Linked DNA regions of Astyanax mexicanus. The protein of the gene in region 1 interacts with the protein of each later gene in a pairwise test. Links are inferred from orthologs where the notes say so. Each region holds a gene or a part of one and is shown in the gene's direction. Other genes may lie near its edges.

What was found.
Region 2: the proteins of kxd1 (region 1) and lrrc45 interact in binary tests that used the Homo sapiens proteins (3 or more experiments, as listed by UniProt). The two-hybrid records come from large-scale screens. The link is inferred for Astyanax mexicanus from reciprocal best matches to the Homo sapiens genes KXD1 and LRRC45.
Region 3: the proteins of kxd1 (region 1) and tcea2 interact in binary tests that used the Homo sapiens proteins (3 or more experiments, as listed by UniProt). The two-hybrid records come from large-scale screens. The link is inferred for Astyanax mexicanus from reciprocal best matches to the Homo sapiens genes KXD1 and TCEA2.

The regions. Positions count from the first base shown.
Region 1 is NC_064417.1:35,895,247-35,900,922, reverse strand, and holds the start of kxd1 (kxDL motif-containing protein 1), read left to right. Parts: upstream 1-2,289; 5' UTR 2,290-2,479; intron 2,480-3,529; 5' UTR 3,530-3,536; coding exon 3,537-3,631; intron 3,632-3,912; coding exon 3,913-4,065; intron 4,066-5,072; coding exon 5,073-5,119; intron 5,120-5,247; coding exon 5,248-5,495; 3' UTR 5,496-5,676.
Region 2 is NC_064422.1:9,241,524-9,247,199, forward strand, and holds the start of lrrc45 (leucine-rich repeat-containing protein 45), read left to right. Parts: upstream 1-1,887; 5' UTR 1,888-1,999; intron 2,000-3,258; 5' UTR 3,259-3,290; coding exon 3,291-3,522; intron 3,523-4,481; coding exon 4,482-4,543; intron 4,544-4,738; coding exon 4,739-4,809; intron 4,810-4,952; coding exon 4,953-5,131; intron 5,132-5,676. Other genes in the region: WD repeat-containing protein on Y chromosome, read right to left, coding at 354-421. UniProt on the Homo sapiens protein: Component of the proteinaceous fiber-like linker between two centrioles, required for centrosome cohesion.
Region 3 is NC_064420.1:30,249,344-30,255,019, forward strand, and holds the start of tcea2 (transcription elongation factor A protein 2), read left to right. Parts: upstream 1-2,313; 5' UTR 2,314-2,483; coding exon 2,484-2,552; intron 2,553-5,032; coding exon 5,033-5,095; intron 5,096-5,676. UniProt on the Homo sapiens protein: Necessary for efficient RNA polymerase II transcription elongation past template-encoded arresting sites.

The DNA.
Region 1 (5,676 bases):
ACATTCAGTGAGCAGCACATTCATGATTTATTTTTGTATTGTGAGCGCTGTAAACATTTATTGTGAAAGTAAACATTCTACATATGACATCCTAATGCAACATAAATACAAATTAATAACCTGTATTTTTTTTGTTAAGTTAACAAGTTAAACGGAACTTAAACCATTTAATCAAAGAATTTGAATGGGTAAAATGTTTGGAACATAGTTGTAGAAGCCAATAATAGTTTTTTTTAATGAGCTATTTTTTTTTTTTTATAAGTGAAGTCAAATGACCAAATACATGCATACACTGTTCTGTGATGCTTTCAGGATGTATAGTATATGTCACTCGGAGACTCCATAAGTCAAAATAAAAATAAAAAAAATACTGCAATGAATTTTACACACCTAGCTAACTTTATTCCTTTACTTAGCATACATTTACACCACAGAAAATGCAAGTGACGTGATAATATAGAAATAACCTTACATGATTAAAATATAATTATAACTTGAAGACCAATTTTAGGTGTAGACAAAATTACAAAAATTAAAAAAGACTAACGTTAATGTTGTGCGCCCTCTTTAGCCACAGATAACAGGCATGCGTGTAGCTAGCAACATGAGGCCATTTAACTTCTCGGTCAACACGGATACAAATGTGTGTATTGTGAAGAAAATATGTATTATACGATGGTATTTAATCTACGCATTAATAAATTAGAGAGATGCCTGGGTCCCGAGGAGCTAACAGTTAGCTAACCTACGTATCCGTGGCTAAACAACGTAAGACATCGAGCTAGCAAGCTAGCTAGCAAACTAACTTACGTACGCTGTTAGCATTAGGTCAACCTGGCTTAAAATACACGTTACAAAAACACGTCAGAAATATCAAATTTTTCATTCCAAAATACAAAAAACAAACTTGTGAAATCTGACATAAAGAGACAAATATTAGTGAAGGAAATAATTTACCACAACTAACGTTAATGTCCGTTTCTCTCTGAAATCCGAGCAAAAATTAACGGTTAGCCTCGTAACCAGATAGCGTTAGCTTAGCTTAGCTAACTACTTTAATACGTAAAAACCAGCCTAAAACCAGCCCAGTCTGATCTATTTGATCAGTAAATGTTTATACGAACCTGTGAAGAAGCGACTGTCTAATAAACAGGTATAAAGGGTTTATCTACCCAGCGAGTAGCTGTATGTAGTTAGATAAGCTAATATTTTGATAAATTAGCGCAGCAGAACTCGTCGACTCGCTCAACTTCTTCCCTCCTGCTCAGAGCTGCGCGCTCCCTGCTGCCCCTGCAGGTTAGGAGACAAACCGAGATCAGAGCTGCGGGAAATTACTTTTAGCTGTTTACCTACCCAAGACTGGACTGTACTGGTCTTACCGATTTTTTTTTTTATCGGATAAAAAATGCTTAGATAATCTCAAAATGACAAGTGCGTGTAATTTATTGTAAAGTTGTAATGCCCGCAGCGCATCCGGTTGTGACATTTACCGGAGGTTTATGGAGAGCCTGCCCACTTCCTATCCGGTTATATAGAGGTATAGAGGGAGCCCGCGAGGGAGTCCTCAATGAATGGAGGTGCATAGAGCTAAACAGCTAAAAAACTAATACATATTAATAACTAGCCACCTCAGTCAGGGACAGTGTAATGTTCCTCAGCTTGATATTTTACCTGTTTAAGGCAAAATTTACTAAAATTAAATTTTAAGTTTTTCATTTTTAAGTTTTTCACAGCCTGAACTACAGTAAATACAAATATACAGGAAACATGTTTTATTCTGAAGGTTGATGAAAAATCTACTTTTGTCACAAAATGAAAAAATAAAAATAAAATAAAATCAAGTAAATTTATTTTATATTTTGTTCCTGGAATTAAAATTATTAGGGGAAAGTCAAGTTTTGCACAAAAAAACACTTACAAAATACATTTCCGACTGTTACATTTAAATAACTGTATGCACTCATCAACTTTACCAGCCTTAAGCTTCTATACGTTACCTCTATATTTGCTCTAATGTTTATTCGGATTCTTTTTATACTGGTACTGTCATTCCCTGTGTAATCTGTCATCATACCTAACTGGTACACTCTCACGCTTAAATTGCACTATTGTCTTGTTTCTCTTGTCTCACGTATGTCTATATTTGAGACACTATGAACAATAAAACTACTTAACTTGACTAAATTATTAGGAGAACCCATTCATTCTGCACTCACTCGTGAGCGCCTTCTAGTGTCTCACTAACCTGTAAAATATTGCTGAGTGTGTAATCTCCTCTGTACAGATTCTCTGCGTCCTCATCACATGACCGTTTAACACAACAACAAAGATGTCTGCTCTGTACAGCCCGGCGCACTAACAGCTCAAACCTTCCCAACCTCAAACCGCTGCATTTAAACCGGTAACTGAGACTACTGGAGCTGTACTGTGAGGTCTGTAAGAGACTGAGGCGCTTGGGTTGAGCTCGGAAGTCAGACAGGTAGGTTAACACCTGTGATCATCACCTCACATTTACAGAACTGCAGTAGCAGACCTGCAGCTGCGCTGCTTATTTTATCTTCTGCTGAACTAATTTAAACGTGCTGCTGTTTATGTTGTAAATATTTTTATACAGTTAGCTGCGTTACTTAGATTTAAGATTATTTTACGATTATATTTAAAGTTAATTATTGTCTGGTACTGCAAATGCGTTTACGCGTAAAGCAAACCTGCTGTGCGAATAAATTGGTGTATTTCTTGCAGTCTTCCACAGTTAGGCTGAATATTTCAGTAGTAATGGTTGCCTACTAACTTACATACTCTAACCTAAATCTATTGTGCAGTATATTCTGTTAAGATCATTAACAAATAGAGCATTTATAATATTTATCGGTATTTCTGCAGTTATTTAGCTATTTTTTTGCAAATTCTATGCTTAAAAGCACATTCCTGTTATTTTTATTCCTGTTACTCAAAACATAAAAAGTAACAGGAATGAATGCCATTAACATTATTTTTTTTTGTCATGCAGTCTAGCATTTCTTTAAAGTAGTTAGTAATTAGTAATTAGTAAACATGCTTTTTAAATGTTTTGTAACCACAAGTTTTTGAATCATCTTTTGCTTAGAAAAAAATAAGTAAAGCTGCCTGAAATTGATCAGTACAGCTTTTAAATAGTTAAATACGTGTGTTTTTAGATTCAGAGTTGAAAAAATATTAGATTATGAAGATTATAACGATAGTTCTGAAGAGTTACAACAAGCACATGGCACCAATTCAGTGTAATACCAATATACAGTGCTGTGGAAGTATTTATTTCTACTTTCATTTTTCAGGTTATCAAAGACATTTTAATATCCAACAATGATAAACATAGATTCAACACATCACAACTCAAACAGTGTACTTGTCATGTAACATGAGACTTCAATACAATCTTTGTACACTGTCAACCTTTTTCATGTTTAATGTGAAAATCATATCAGTGCTGTTAGTTGACTATGATATGTGTGAAATGATTGTTAACTCAGACGTTCATTTCTTTTTATAGCTACAATATGGATCCGACAGCATCTGGGATTTTCTGCAACAGAATGCTAAGCATGGTCAATTCTGAGGATGTGAACGCCATCATTCAAGCCCAGAGACACATGTACAGTTTTTGCTGTCTAATAATCAAAACAGTCACATGCATTTACTTCTGTAAAATTGCTTAGGCTAAAATTACTTGAGAAAAATATTATCTATATTTTTGCTTGAGAAAAGTACAGAAATTCTTGCTTGTGAATGCTGGATGAATGTTTGTTTAAATACTGTATTTACAATAGCATTTCTACTTTTACTCAATACAGAAGTACTGACTTGTCCACCCTTAGTCAAAAATAATGTATAATTTATAATAATCACAATTTAATGTTATTAATCTCTCCTTAGGCTGGACCGCTTTGAGAAGACCAATGAGATGCTCATTAACTTTAATGGTTTGTCCAATGTGCGACTTCAACAGATGAACGACCACTTTCTGCTCCACACTCGCACTTTAATTGAGATGAAGAAGGATTTGGACAGTATTTTCCGGCGAATAAGGTGCTTTAGGAGTTCTTTAAGTGTTAGTCTGTTTGGTTGGTGTAAACATTGAGTTTTGTTAAAAAAAAAAAAAAAAAAAAAACATTGTACACTGGGTTTCCAGGAAGGAATCAAACCTAGTCTTGCAGTGTTTTTTCTTTCAATGAGAAAGTTTAATTAAAAATGCTATGTAGTCCATTACTAGACATAATCTGGAAATTGTAGTCACATACATAGAAAGACAGGGTACAACTAGCAGTGAGGTTTTTTGTTGACTGTCCTGTATAAAATGTAAAAAGTCAAGTGAAAAAGTAAAGATAACAAGTAAGTAAGAAAGTAATAAATAACTAAGGGTGATTTCCTACTTTATTTGGATCAGAATATTTGACTTTTCCGATTGGGCCCCAATCAAAGTAGCAGGTGTGAAAGGGGCCGCAAACAGTCCAGAACAAATGTACGGAAAGGGGAGTCGGATACTGATAGAGGGATAGAATTCTCTGCAACATCTGGCTAAGCAACCTATTACTTTAATTCTGCCCAATAACTGCAGTGTAAAATCAAAAAGAACCAATACAAATGTTCAATACACAATGTAACAAACACATGAACACAGACATTGGTCCGGATGTTCTAGTGTGCAAACATCCTAAGAAGAATCTCCATAGAAAGAAGTTCTTATAGAAGCATTGGAGCTGCTAAAAATGATCAATACTTAACCAAATATTGTCTAGAAGTGTAAAACCCACCAGTAATAGGCTGTGGAACAATTTAATTTGGTTTCAGAAGAGTTCTTTAGATTTATGTTTTATCTTATACATTTGGGTGGGTAGAATTTATCATCCAAAATCTCTAATGCTCATCTGACTGAATGCGGTCAAATTCTCAAAGCAATGTAGTGTAGCATCTAGTGTAAAGCCTCCCCACAAAAAGTATAGTGTTTTTAAAGTAAAGGGAGATAGATTCTTGGTTTTAGAAGTGGTAGTGTATGAGTGGAATAATTCAGTATACCTTGTTGTATTTTTGTGCAGGACATTGAAGAGTAAGATTTCAAAGCAGTATCCTGAGGCTTTCAGCAGTGAGTATCACCTAGACTTTCTTAATTATGTTATTTGTATTGCCAACACATTTCATTCTCTCACATAATACACCTTTTTCCAGAGCATTACCTTTGCTCATGTAATTTTATCAGTGATTTCTCAACAGACATCCACGAGTCTCCTAGCCTAGAGGATGATGATGATGAGTTTGACCCAATCCCTCCCAGTGTGGCCACCACTGCCACCACAACAGAGCAGAGCACCGAGTCATGTGACACCAGCCCTGACGTAATTTCACCCACCATCAGCCGCTGCTCAGAGGAGCTCTCCCAGGAGAATCCCGACACGCCTACGTCTAACAGCCCAGAGAGGGCTGTACTGCTGGACGAGGGTCCAGATTCAGCTGAGATCTAGAGTCTTTAGATGCTTCTGCATATTTGAGTTACTTTAGAACCTCATATTAACAGCAGGATTGCATTAAATAGCCTGCATGGGAGGAAGATGCTACACCATTTGCCATTCATGCATTTAGACAGTTATTCAGTTTAGGTTTGGAGATAAATGAGATGTCTGAGTCACTTGTATTGTTCATATT
Region 2 (5,676 bases), on another chromosome or scaffold:
TTGTGTCACTATGGCTCCACCTAGTGCAAGACATGGTTAAAGGCAAGGCCCTGAATTTTTATAAATATGATAGTGTGGTTCATAAATTTAAATGTATATCAGATCTTATTCAGATTTTTTTTATCTGAAAATGTATGGATGATGTGTTTTTGTTTTCAACAGCATTTTTTCACCAGAAGAAAGTTAACAAGATAAAAGCAGCATTGTCAAAATTAAAATTAGTAACTAAACTGTATAAATTAAATGTTAATTAATTAATTTAAATTAATTAAAAAAACAATACTTCATAAACACACAGCTCTGATTTGTTGGTTGAATTTAAAACCTTTTTAATGACCTTTAATGACTCTTACCGAATGGTTCTGCTGGGGATTTCCTCCTCATACACTCTCCATGGGTCGTCTTTGGCCCGGTCATCCATATCACCAAACCCTAAAGATGGATCCTCTCTGGTATTAGGCTGACTGTGATGTTCCTCTGGTCACCTCGCTGTTGGAGGAGGGATGTTGTAGCTTTCCAAAAGCTGAAAATCTCTGAAATCTCTTTTTAACACATAGTTATTCCTTCGCACCAACACACTAGTTATTCAGCGACTCTCTCTCCCTGATCTCAGAGCGTTTACTCTTCTGTTTCTCCCCCAGGCTGAGCATTCCCAATGGCAGCAGCTCAAACAACAAGGAACCAGTGGTCAGCTTTCCAGATTAATCATCCATCAATCACCAAGGTAATCTCACACAACAAAGATCCAGCTGGAGCCAACACTGTGTTCACCAGTCACACACATTGATCACTGTAATGCACTGTTAGATTCCTTTTCAGTGTTTTTCCCATCCCATCCAAGCTGATAAACCATGGAAGGGCCCATATATCAGGAAAGCAATAATAAATAAGGTTTAGTGTAGGACAGCCAGTCAGAACTGAGCAAAACTGGATAACATACCTCTGAAGAATGTCAGCTTTGAGTAAATGTTCCACCAAGAAAATATTAATGATAGACTAAGAATGATTTCAAGTTATCCCGGTCATTGTACCAATGATATGACAAGCCATGCCTCAAGAAATAATATAAACATATTAGTACATATAAGCATTTCTGACATAGAAATCCCACAGAATCAGCAAAAGCTTCTAATAAACATACAGTAACATATGAAGTGTTCACATTGGTGGCAAATTAAATAAGCAGATTCTTAAATCTCTTTAAATCTCTTAAATCTACCTCATGGAAAATTAATACATTAAATGGTTATTACTAACCCTTTCAGACCCAATTTTCCATTGCAATGGACATTATAGGTCTGCAATTTAGCAATCTGTAGCCTAGCCGTCAACCGAGCACCTCACAGTTTGATTTAGGGCGTGTCAGTGTGTCTTTGCTATCGTAATGACGGGAAAAGTATGTGTGCTTCTTGAAACGTGCAAAAAGCATGTACTAATTATTTTAATTTATCATGGCTGTGTTCATTGCTGTGTCTGCATTATGAATAAAAAGGCCTATTTTTATTGTGGTCATGGCTTCACCATTACTGTAAAGTAATGGCCCCTAAGGTGACAGCATGTTAAAAATAAAATAATGCGTGGCCATGACTTATTAAGGCGTGGAAATAAGAACCTCACTTTTTTTTTTACATGATATCACAGGCTCTGTTTAATAGAGACAGTTAGCTAGTATTACAATGTGTTCCTCTAATGTGTTTATGTATTCTGACAAATATATAATCTAATAATCTATGTTATACTAATCTGTAACATAATGTGCACCACGTATTGTTAAATGCAGAAAATGCAACAAAAAATAATAATAATAAAAAAAGCGTTTTTATCTAAATTAAAGACTACTACTATGTTGTTTTGTGGCTGTACTACATGTCCCAGAATGCAGCGCGGCCCCGTAGCTGCCTAAGTTCCTGGATACATGTCAACTGCTAGCCAGCAAAGCTGTAAACAGCGGCAACTGTTAAAACATTAGAACCGCAGGGATGTCGCTCAGCTTTATAGAGTAAGAACTGCTTATTTATACATTTATTTGACTTATTTTAATCTATTTTAGCGTGTTCTAGAGACTGTTGTAGCTCGCTGGCTAGCACAATAGCTAACTGAGCTAGCTAACAACAAATTAATGCTAGCTAGCTTAACTAGCTAACCCTAACTGTCTAACTTTTGTGTAATTGGAGTTATTTTACTACATGTTTGTATTTTATTAATGAATAATGAAGCCATGTGTAATACAGGCTTAATAAGATGAACTAAAGTTTGCCTTTTACTTCACTATCTTGTTATATGAATGATTCTGTCCACCTTAAATTCTGCAGCAGTTACATTAGGGGGATTCAGAAGTCAGAATGTAAAGGCTCAGAAACACTAAAGCATTTAAGGTGGAACGGACAATTGCAAAAATAAGCAATTATTATGTATTTATAAAAGGTTAAGGGTTAATTAATTGGTCTAAAGTAACTAAGTACCTAATAGAAGCGTTTCATACCGTTTTATACACACAATATCGTGACACAATAATATCATTATTTTCTGTGAAAGGTTTTTTTTTGGTATATCTGTCTATGTTTGCAGTTTATATGCATGTCTTAAATGTTCTGTACTTTAGTATTATGGTGTTTATTTTGGTACATTACATTATTGTTATGTTAAATTTTGTTTTTATGTTGACATGATTTTGTTATTACATTTAAAAACTAAATAAAATTGTAAAATAAAAAATGTCCAAGCATTTGACTGGTAACGTTACTGTATTTAGTTGCAGTAATAAGGATTTAAAATTTTTGTTTTGTCATATTGCCAAGAATATTGTAACTGCAAAAAATATCCTAAAATATATCTTATTATTATTTTAGGGCCATATCATCCACCCTAAGTAACTAATAGCCTTGTTTGATTATAATCAATTACAACAACTCACATAAACTAAATATAAATGCTTGGGTTTTAAATGTAATGTAATATAATGCATGTTGCAACATAACAGTGCATTGAGCACCCCTTCCCCTCTTGTAGTTGCATCTAGAAGCATGTTGTTGATTTGAATTTAAATCCTTTTTGAACATCTTCAACGTGACCCTTTGCTCCTTCTGCAATCATGATGATTGCATTTACATTAGAGATGGAGAAAATTCTGCATGCAGTCTATTGGCTGGAGATGCAGCTCAGATCAGACACCAATATTATAATAAGACTGAGGTGAAGATGTTTTTTTTTTTTCCCCTCAAATACAATATTCTCTTTTTGTCTTTTGTCTTTTTGCAGCTCTGTATGTGAGTGAGGGAGCTTGTCTGTTGATGGAGGACTTCAGGCGGGCCTACATGCAGCTCTGTAAGGAGGCTGGGGTGGAGCCCCAGGAGTCAGTCCTGGCTCAACTGCAGGGGACGCGAGCGGCAGCTGGAGGAACCAGGCTGGACCTAAGTGGTCAGAGTCTGACCGTGGAGTCTTGTGCCGTGCTGGGAAGGACGCTGCAGAAGGACACGCTGTTCACTGAGCTCGGCCTCAGTGACTGCATGCTTAGTGAAGAAGGTGAGTCTAAACTGACCTTATTACTGCTTATTACTTTACCTTTTAGACCTCTAATCTTCTCTTCACTGCTGAAACTGAGACTCGGTCCAGACATGTTAAGCTAAAGAGCTAAAGGCTAAAGCTGTTTCCATGTGGGTCAGCCAGACGTCTTCCTGTAGCAGTTTTCTCCAGTTTCCAAGAATCTTTTGAAGGTGTAGGAAACAGTACTCACCACTCTCTGGCTTCATCTGTAATTTGTCTAAAGACTGAAAGACTTCTACTTTCAATAGTTACAGAGTTCTCTGCTTTTCTTTGTCTTTTTCTAGTTATTATGATGATGAAAGTGTGAATGTGCTGTGTGAGTGTGTAAATGCTGCAGTAGAGAGTGCAGTAACATCATCTGTTCCGTCACTGCTTTACTACAGACAATTTTCTTTGCCATTTACCATCTGTAAGCTGTTAACAAATAAATTGTTTGCTAAAAATCACACACTCCTTTTTAAACAACATATGACTTTTATACTTTTTTAGTTTTTCATTCATTTTTTTCTCTTAAAGGTCCTGGCAGTTTACTAGAATTTTTTTTACACTGGATTAAAAAGCTTAAATGTCAAAAATAAAGGGGAAAAATTGCGGAGTTCTAAACTTTTGATCAGTAGTGTATATACGGATGGTGTCTCAGAGGAAGATCAGCTAGATGTAGATGCAGAGGATCCTTATGGTTCAATTTTTTTTACAGCGATTTTATAATACTGTTCTAATAGGTCTTAAATGCTCAATGAATGCTTGTTTAATTTTAAGGGATAAATTAAAGTACCTGTAGTAGATAAAAAAAAATTAAAATACTGGAAAAATATAAAATATGGCCCTATAACTTATTTAACATTGGCATTGGCATATTATCTTAAACAATTTGAAGGACAAATAGATTGCTCTGATGTATATAATCAGTACCATCTGTTCTGGATCTGCGTTTACAGGTGCCAAGCTTTTCCTGAGTGGGCTGTGTTCCAATACCACAGTAAAAGTCCTGGATCTTAAGGTAAGATCATAGTCATGGACTTTAAAATAGCCATTTCCTTTAATAGAATGTGCTTTTTTAAAATTAATTTATTAATGCATGCGAAAAGGGAATTTAATATGTTTTATGTTTGCAAGTACAGCACACTGAAATGTTAATGATGAAATGCTAATGATCATCAAATTCTTTAATATTAATAATTGTAAAATTCCTTAGGGGAATAACTTAAGAGGAGCCGGAGCAGAAGCTTTGGGGAAATTGTTGGTGAGGAATAAGACGTTACGAAGGTGAATGCCCATGTTTTACATTAAAAAGCACTATAGTTATACTCTAACTATAGTACCAGCTTAACAATTGTAAAGAGACAGACTCACTCATCAGGTTTCTGATTTTGCTGTTTGTATGTATAACGTCTGCTTCTTGTTCACAGGCTTGTTTTGGAGTGGAATGCTCTCGGGATGTGGGAAGAGGGGTTTTCTATATTCTGTGAGGGTCTCGCATCTAACAGTTGCCTCACTCAGCTAGACCTGCGTAACAATCAAATCAACCATCAGGGGGCAGCTGAGCTTGCCTTAGCTCTGAAACGAAACTCTGTCCTCCAAGAGCTTGGTGAGTGTTTACAGACAGGCATTATCGGACATCCCCACGTTTTGTGATCTCTAATACAGGAGTTTTGAAGCTTTGACTCCTCATAGCTCACCTGTTCATAACAAGAAAACATATCTGCTCACAAGAAAAAAAGTTTTTTTTTGTATATATATTTTATTTATTTCTTATTTCATACTTAAGAGCTGACACTAAATGTAAAATCTGAACAATAGATTAGAAATTATATCTTCTATTTGTGTTCAGTCACAGAAAGTATGTTTTTTTTAGGCTCCTACTCCTAAATTCATATTTTAAGCCTTTGATTTTTGGGTTGTACTTTTAATTTATTTTTTCTGAGGAACAGTATCACCATTCTTGGTTAAAAAAAAAATCACAGCTGAGATTTTTAAATCTGATGGTGTTTATTTTGCCAAATTACATTACTTCTGCAATATATTTTTTGTATATATAATGTTCATATTTTTAACGTGATTGAGGTTTAAATTTTTACTATACAATTTTTTTCCAACATACATTTCTTTGACTCTCCTACTGGATGCAAAACA
Region 3 (5,676 bases), on another chromosome or scaffold:
AGCAGGGAATGGCCTGTTAGTTGACCTCTAGTAAGAGTAACAACAACATTACATAATAAGTATGCTTAAAAAGTGTTCAGTGTTTAGTATCAATCATTTAATCAATCCATTAGTGTTATTGAGTTGGCATTGAGTTCTGCACAACAGAAATTCTATTGGCCTGTTGTTGCTGAAAGACCCCCTCTGCTGTACCTTTTGGCTTCAGGCCAAGCGTAAAAGTCACAGGTCCAACCTCAGCACCTCAGGTCACCACACAAAAACAGGCACATCCATTAATCAAAAGCAATGACCCAAAGGGAAAGGAAGTCCAATCTCATTTAAGCTGCCTGAGCATTGGAAAAAGGCATCAACAGGTTGCTGAGCAAACAGCTGTACAAGAATGCCCTCATCTGGTAAGCAGGCCAAAGTGCAGCACTCATAATCTTTACAAGAATTGATAAGATTGTGGTATGATTACCATAATGCACTAATAATATAATTAGAAAGCTTTAAACAAAATATTTATTTATATGCATTTATATGTTTTGTGTGGTAATTATTAATTGTTTCAGAAATGTGTGACTGCCCATTCTTTTTAAATATACCCTTGGGTGGTCTTCCCGCCTTCATGGTCAGGGTCATGGTCATGCTGGATCCCGAGCCTACCCAGAGTCACTAGGGTAATAATAAGCACACGGTTGGAATAACCCCAGGACAGGGCACCACCAGTCCATTGCAAGAGTTCTTTGAGTATGGATAAATAAATAAATAAATAAGTCAGTTAGATTAAATAGTAGAGCAAACTATTTGTTTAAAATATTTTGAGTTAAAAGACAACAGATATAAAGCAAATATCACATTATCACATTATTAACAGTAATAGCAGTAGTCATATTAATATACCCCAGAAAACTTGCCCCAAGTGAGGTCTGAATGGGGAGCTCCCTAGGAACAAGAAAAGTTGTTCACAGGTTCTATGGGGTGCCTAAATATGGATGCACATCAGGGTTCAAGAATGGGAGCAGGGGGATTAAACATGGGCCCATATGGGTTAACCAAACAATAAAAAAATAAAATAAATAACAACTCTGGTGGCCTACCAAAAATGATTTTGGGATTTTTTTCTACATTTAATGATACACAAACGAGCAAAATGAGAAGCAACAAAACCTGATAATGGAAAAATATAAAATATATATTTTTTTCTGTCTGTAATGCACCTAAAACTCCATCCATCTATCTTATCGTCTTATATGTTTCTTCCAGGTCAGGGTCACAGTGAGTACAGAGCTTACCTACCCTATACATTGTTTGGGAGTCAGCTGGAGACACAGGGAGAACACATCCCAACTCCTCACAGACATGAATCAGAGCAGGAATTGAACTAGCAACCCTATTACCTCTAGAGTTGTCTGACATACTACTTGTGGTGCTACTCATACTTGTCAAGTCTCTTGTATTGGCCGGGAAACTACCATATTTAACCCTATTTTCCCGTAAATTTACCATATTATATTATAATAAAAAAATTAAAACAGAAAATTCCTGTGTCTCTCCAAACTGCCTCCCAGGCAGCTGGAAGTGCTGACAGCCGAAACAACCCTGGAACAACAAATCAGAGAGATGGATAGATGTAAGGAAAGAGATGGCATTCCTACCAAAAAACACCACACTATGATGATACATACTCATATATACTATGCACATATGTATAATGTCATATATACCTTCTTCTGACTGCGGAAAATACCATTGATCATCACAACAAAAGTATATTAAAATAAAAAAATACTATATATTTGTGTATATAATATAATAATTAATATAATAATAATTACTACATACTATATCATGATACTATGATACTGAACCTCGGTTGGTCTGGTGGGATGGCTCGAAGCGGGCAGCAGGAAAATTCCCTTATATTTAAATCCAAAACTTGACAGGTATGGTGCCACAAAATAAAGAAAAAAACTAAGTTACAACAAAAACAAAAAAAATCTCAAACTATCCTTAAGCAGTAAAATAAACTTGAGACATGATAAAAAAGTGTTCTAAATCAGATCAAATTTTTTTAAAGCAGAACTGTCACTGTGTCTGTTTGGCTGGAGTGTTTTTTTTTTCAGTGCAGTGGGCGGGGCTACGCTGCTGTTTGATTGGCTGGTAAAGGTTGATTCTGATGGACAACACCTCTCAATCAGTGTTGTGTCAATCAAAATGTAAAAAAAAAAAAAAAGAAAGAAAAAACACCAACACAAAAATGATGTCCATTCACTGCAATATACGCAGGGTCAGAAAGGGTTAAACAGCTCTGCTGGCTCTGGAACTACATTTCCCACAATTCTCCAAACCACAACAGACGAGCCCTGCGAAAAAGGCTGTGGATTCAACTCATTCAGACACCGAGAGCGAGAGAGAAAAACACGGGCGTGTTTCCTTAGTGACACTTTAAATGGAGTTAACGTTACGAGCTTAGGCTGCAGCAGACAGGGGAGCTTTTAAAGATGGTGAAAGACCAAGAAGTGGAGCGCATCGCGAAGAAGCTGGACAAAATGGTGCAGAAGGAAAACACGGTGAGTGTGGGTCGGTCCGGCGGCGGAGAGAGGAGCAGGTAGACAGGGACGCTGGACTGGACTGGAGCGTGCTGCACTTTTAGCCAGCTAGGGGTTAGCTAACCTGGCTTACTTATGGACGAAATTTCTGGAAACTTGCGAAAACGTACTTGTGTATAAATAGCTTGGTTAGCTAACCTAGCGTTAGCTAGTTATCGTTTCTGAAAATGTCTTCCACCACTCTCAGTGAGCCACTGTTAGCTTTCCACTCCAGAGTGAATGCCCCGGGGTTAGGGCTTTTACGGTGGACGCTGGAGAGCAGGCAGGAGGCGTGGAGGACCTCAGCACAGCCCCCCATAATTCAACATATCTAACATAACGCTACCTAACGCTTTCTCTTTAGCTAAGTAGAGTAAAGGACATGTTTGGCGGTAAAGTTAACGGAAGAGGTGTTACCGAGGCTTTTACCGCCACTCGGTAAAAAAATTTATCCGGCAAAAAAACATAATAGTGGGTAAATTACCTAGCTCTAATTAATGAATCTTTAGAGCTTTCCCCATTATCTCCGTTTTTTATTATTTATTAGTCTTTTTTTTAAACTAAATAGTTAGTTAGCTAACCTTCTTATGTAATATTGTTTAGTTGAGTAACTATCAAGATTGATACACAGCGCTATTGCCGGTGTTCTGTCGAGTTATGGTAATGTTACCCCTCGATATGTGCTTCTTAACGGCACTGCGCATGCGTCCACCCACATATTTTACTATTTAATGCGTTTGTATTTTATAATAATTCCGTTTTCCTTGGGTGCATTAACGTTTTAAACCCTGCGTCCATTACAATGGACACCATGAATTTTCTAATGTTTTTAAATGTTTTCTTGCACATAACACGAAGTTAATTGAGACCTTTTGTCAATCAAAATAGAGTATGAATGAGCCAATGAAAAAGTTTATAAGCCAATGAAACAATAGCATAGTCCTGCCCACTGCACTGAACAACAACAACAACAAAAAAAACACTAGAGCCAAAAAGGCTAATTAAACTTTTTTTTGGCTTATTTTATGTGATTTAGTTCATTTTAGTGTCTAGGGATGGCTTGTGATGGCTTCCAAGCCAATAGACATAAAGTATTCACCTATTTAATTGGATTTAATGTTAATATAGATTTTATGTTATAATATTAAAGTCTTCCTTTGTGTGCATTACTGACAGAAAACAGCATTATTATAACACAAAAGTTAACACAAAACTGTAAATGGTGATTAAAAAAATTAAAATAATAATACACTATAAGAAAAATACAGTTGTTTTTAATCAGCTAGCTAAGTCTGTCACGTTAACTTTTAACTTACCTGAAAAAAAACAGTTTAGCCTAACCTTTATTTTAAACCCTATATTTTTACCTTTTATAGTGTTATATACATTAGGGTAGCACCGGAATCCGCCCTTTACCGAGTCCCACTTTTACCCTCCGCTCTGTTTGTTAACTAGTTAGTTAACATTGATTAGCTAACCTACATTTGAGGTTCCTGACTTCCTGACTGAACTGAGAGCGGTGAATGTGTTCGTTTAGCAAACCAGCAAACCGTCCATTAATCAGCTCGAGGTCCCGTATGAGAGGACGCCGCTGTCAATTAAACCACTAACTAGCTAAATGGCTAGTTAGTTAGCTTAGCCAAGCTAATTACCAAAACACCGTCACTGCCTCGCCGGTGAATTTTGAACGGACGCGGTTTGAATAACCGACTCTCTCCGTTCCTGTTGTGTTTGTGTGTGTGTGTGTGTGTGTGTGTGTGTGTGTGTGTGTGTGTGTGTGTGTGTGTGTGTGTGTGTGTGTGTGTGTTTTCGTGCTGTTGGAGCTGATGAGCTGGCAAACTGGTCCTTCTCCAATTTTCTCTCCTGTCTGACTGCTGTGGACACACTGTGTAGGGGTGTGCTCTATACTAGTGCATCTAAAAAATTAGAATATCATTAAAAAGTTACTTTATTGCAGTAATTTAGTTCAAAATGAGAAACTCATATTGTATAGATGTATCACAGAGTGATATATTTTAAGTGTTTCTTTCTTTTATTTTTGATTATTTATTATGGTTTATTATGTCTTAATCAGCCAATAAACCCCCCCAAAAAAGTGTCTCAGAAAAATAGAACATTATATAAGACCAATTGGTAGTTTTGGCAGTGTGGGCAGTGTGCCAAGTCCTGCTGGAAAATGAAATCCGCGTCCCCATAAAAATTGTCAGGGGAGAGGGAAGCATGGAAGTGCTGTAATATGACAATATCACTGTGATCAAATATTATTGAGGTCATGTCCATTTATTGTTCGCTAAGTAAATAATGTAATTATCGTTATCTGCATAGACCCTGCTTAAGAAATAAAATGTTTCTGCTCAGTGTATAAAACTGTTATATTTATACTATTGCCAAGGATATTGTTATTGCAAAAACTTTGCTTTCTAAGTTAATTCTTTCTCCCTCTTTTCTTCCTTTACATCCAGGATGGTGCCTTAGACTTGCTGAAGGAACTGAAGAACATGAAAATGTCACTGGAGACCCTGCAGGTAGTTCAGTCCACTTTAACATATTAAATGCAGTCTACTTCATATCACACAACAACTTTTTAGGATGTGGAGAATCACTTCAGGCCTTGACATAAAAATAGGACATTTTTATTGACAAATATGTTTTGGATGCAGCCGCTCGGCCATGAAAACCCATTCTATGAAGCTCTCCATCCACTGTCCTTGAGATAATCTGAAGGCTACATGAAGTTTGGAGGTCTGTTGTGATTGACTGTGCAGAAAGTTAGTGATCTATGCCTCAGGATTTGCTGACCGTCCTCTCTTTTCATTTTACGTTGATGGAGTAAGTTGCTTTTGTTTCCAGTCGCTTCCACTTGTTATAATAGCACTGACAGTTGGCTGTGGAATATAGAATATATATAACATATATAACCATATATAACGTTTTGTTTGGACTATAAGGCGCACTTAAAATCCTTTAAATTTTCCAAAAATCAACTTATAATCAGGTGCGCCATGTATATGATTTTTTTTATTTTTTTTTTTTATTTTAAATTTTTCCCATTTTCTTCCCAATGTACACGGCCAATTACCCAACCCACTCATCAGGACTCCCCCTA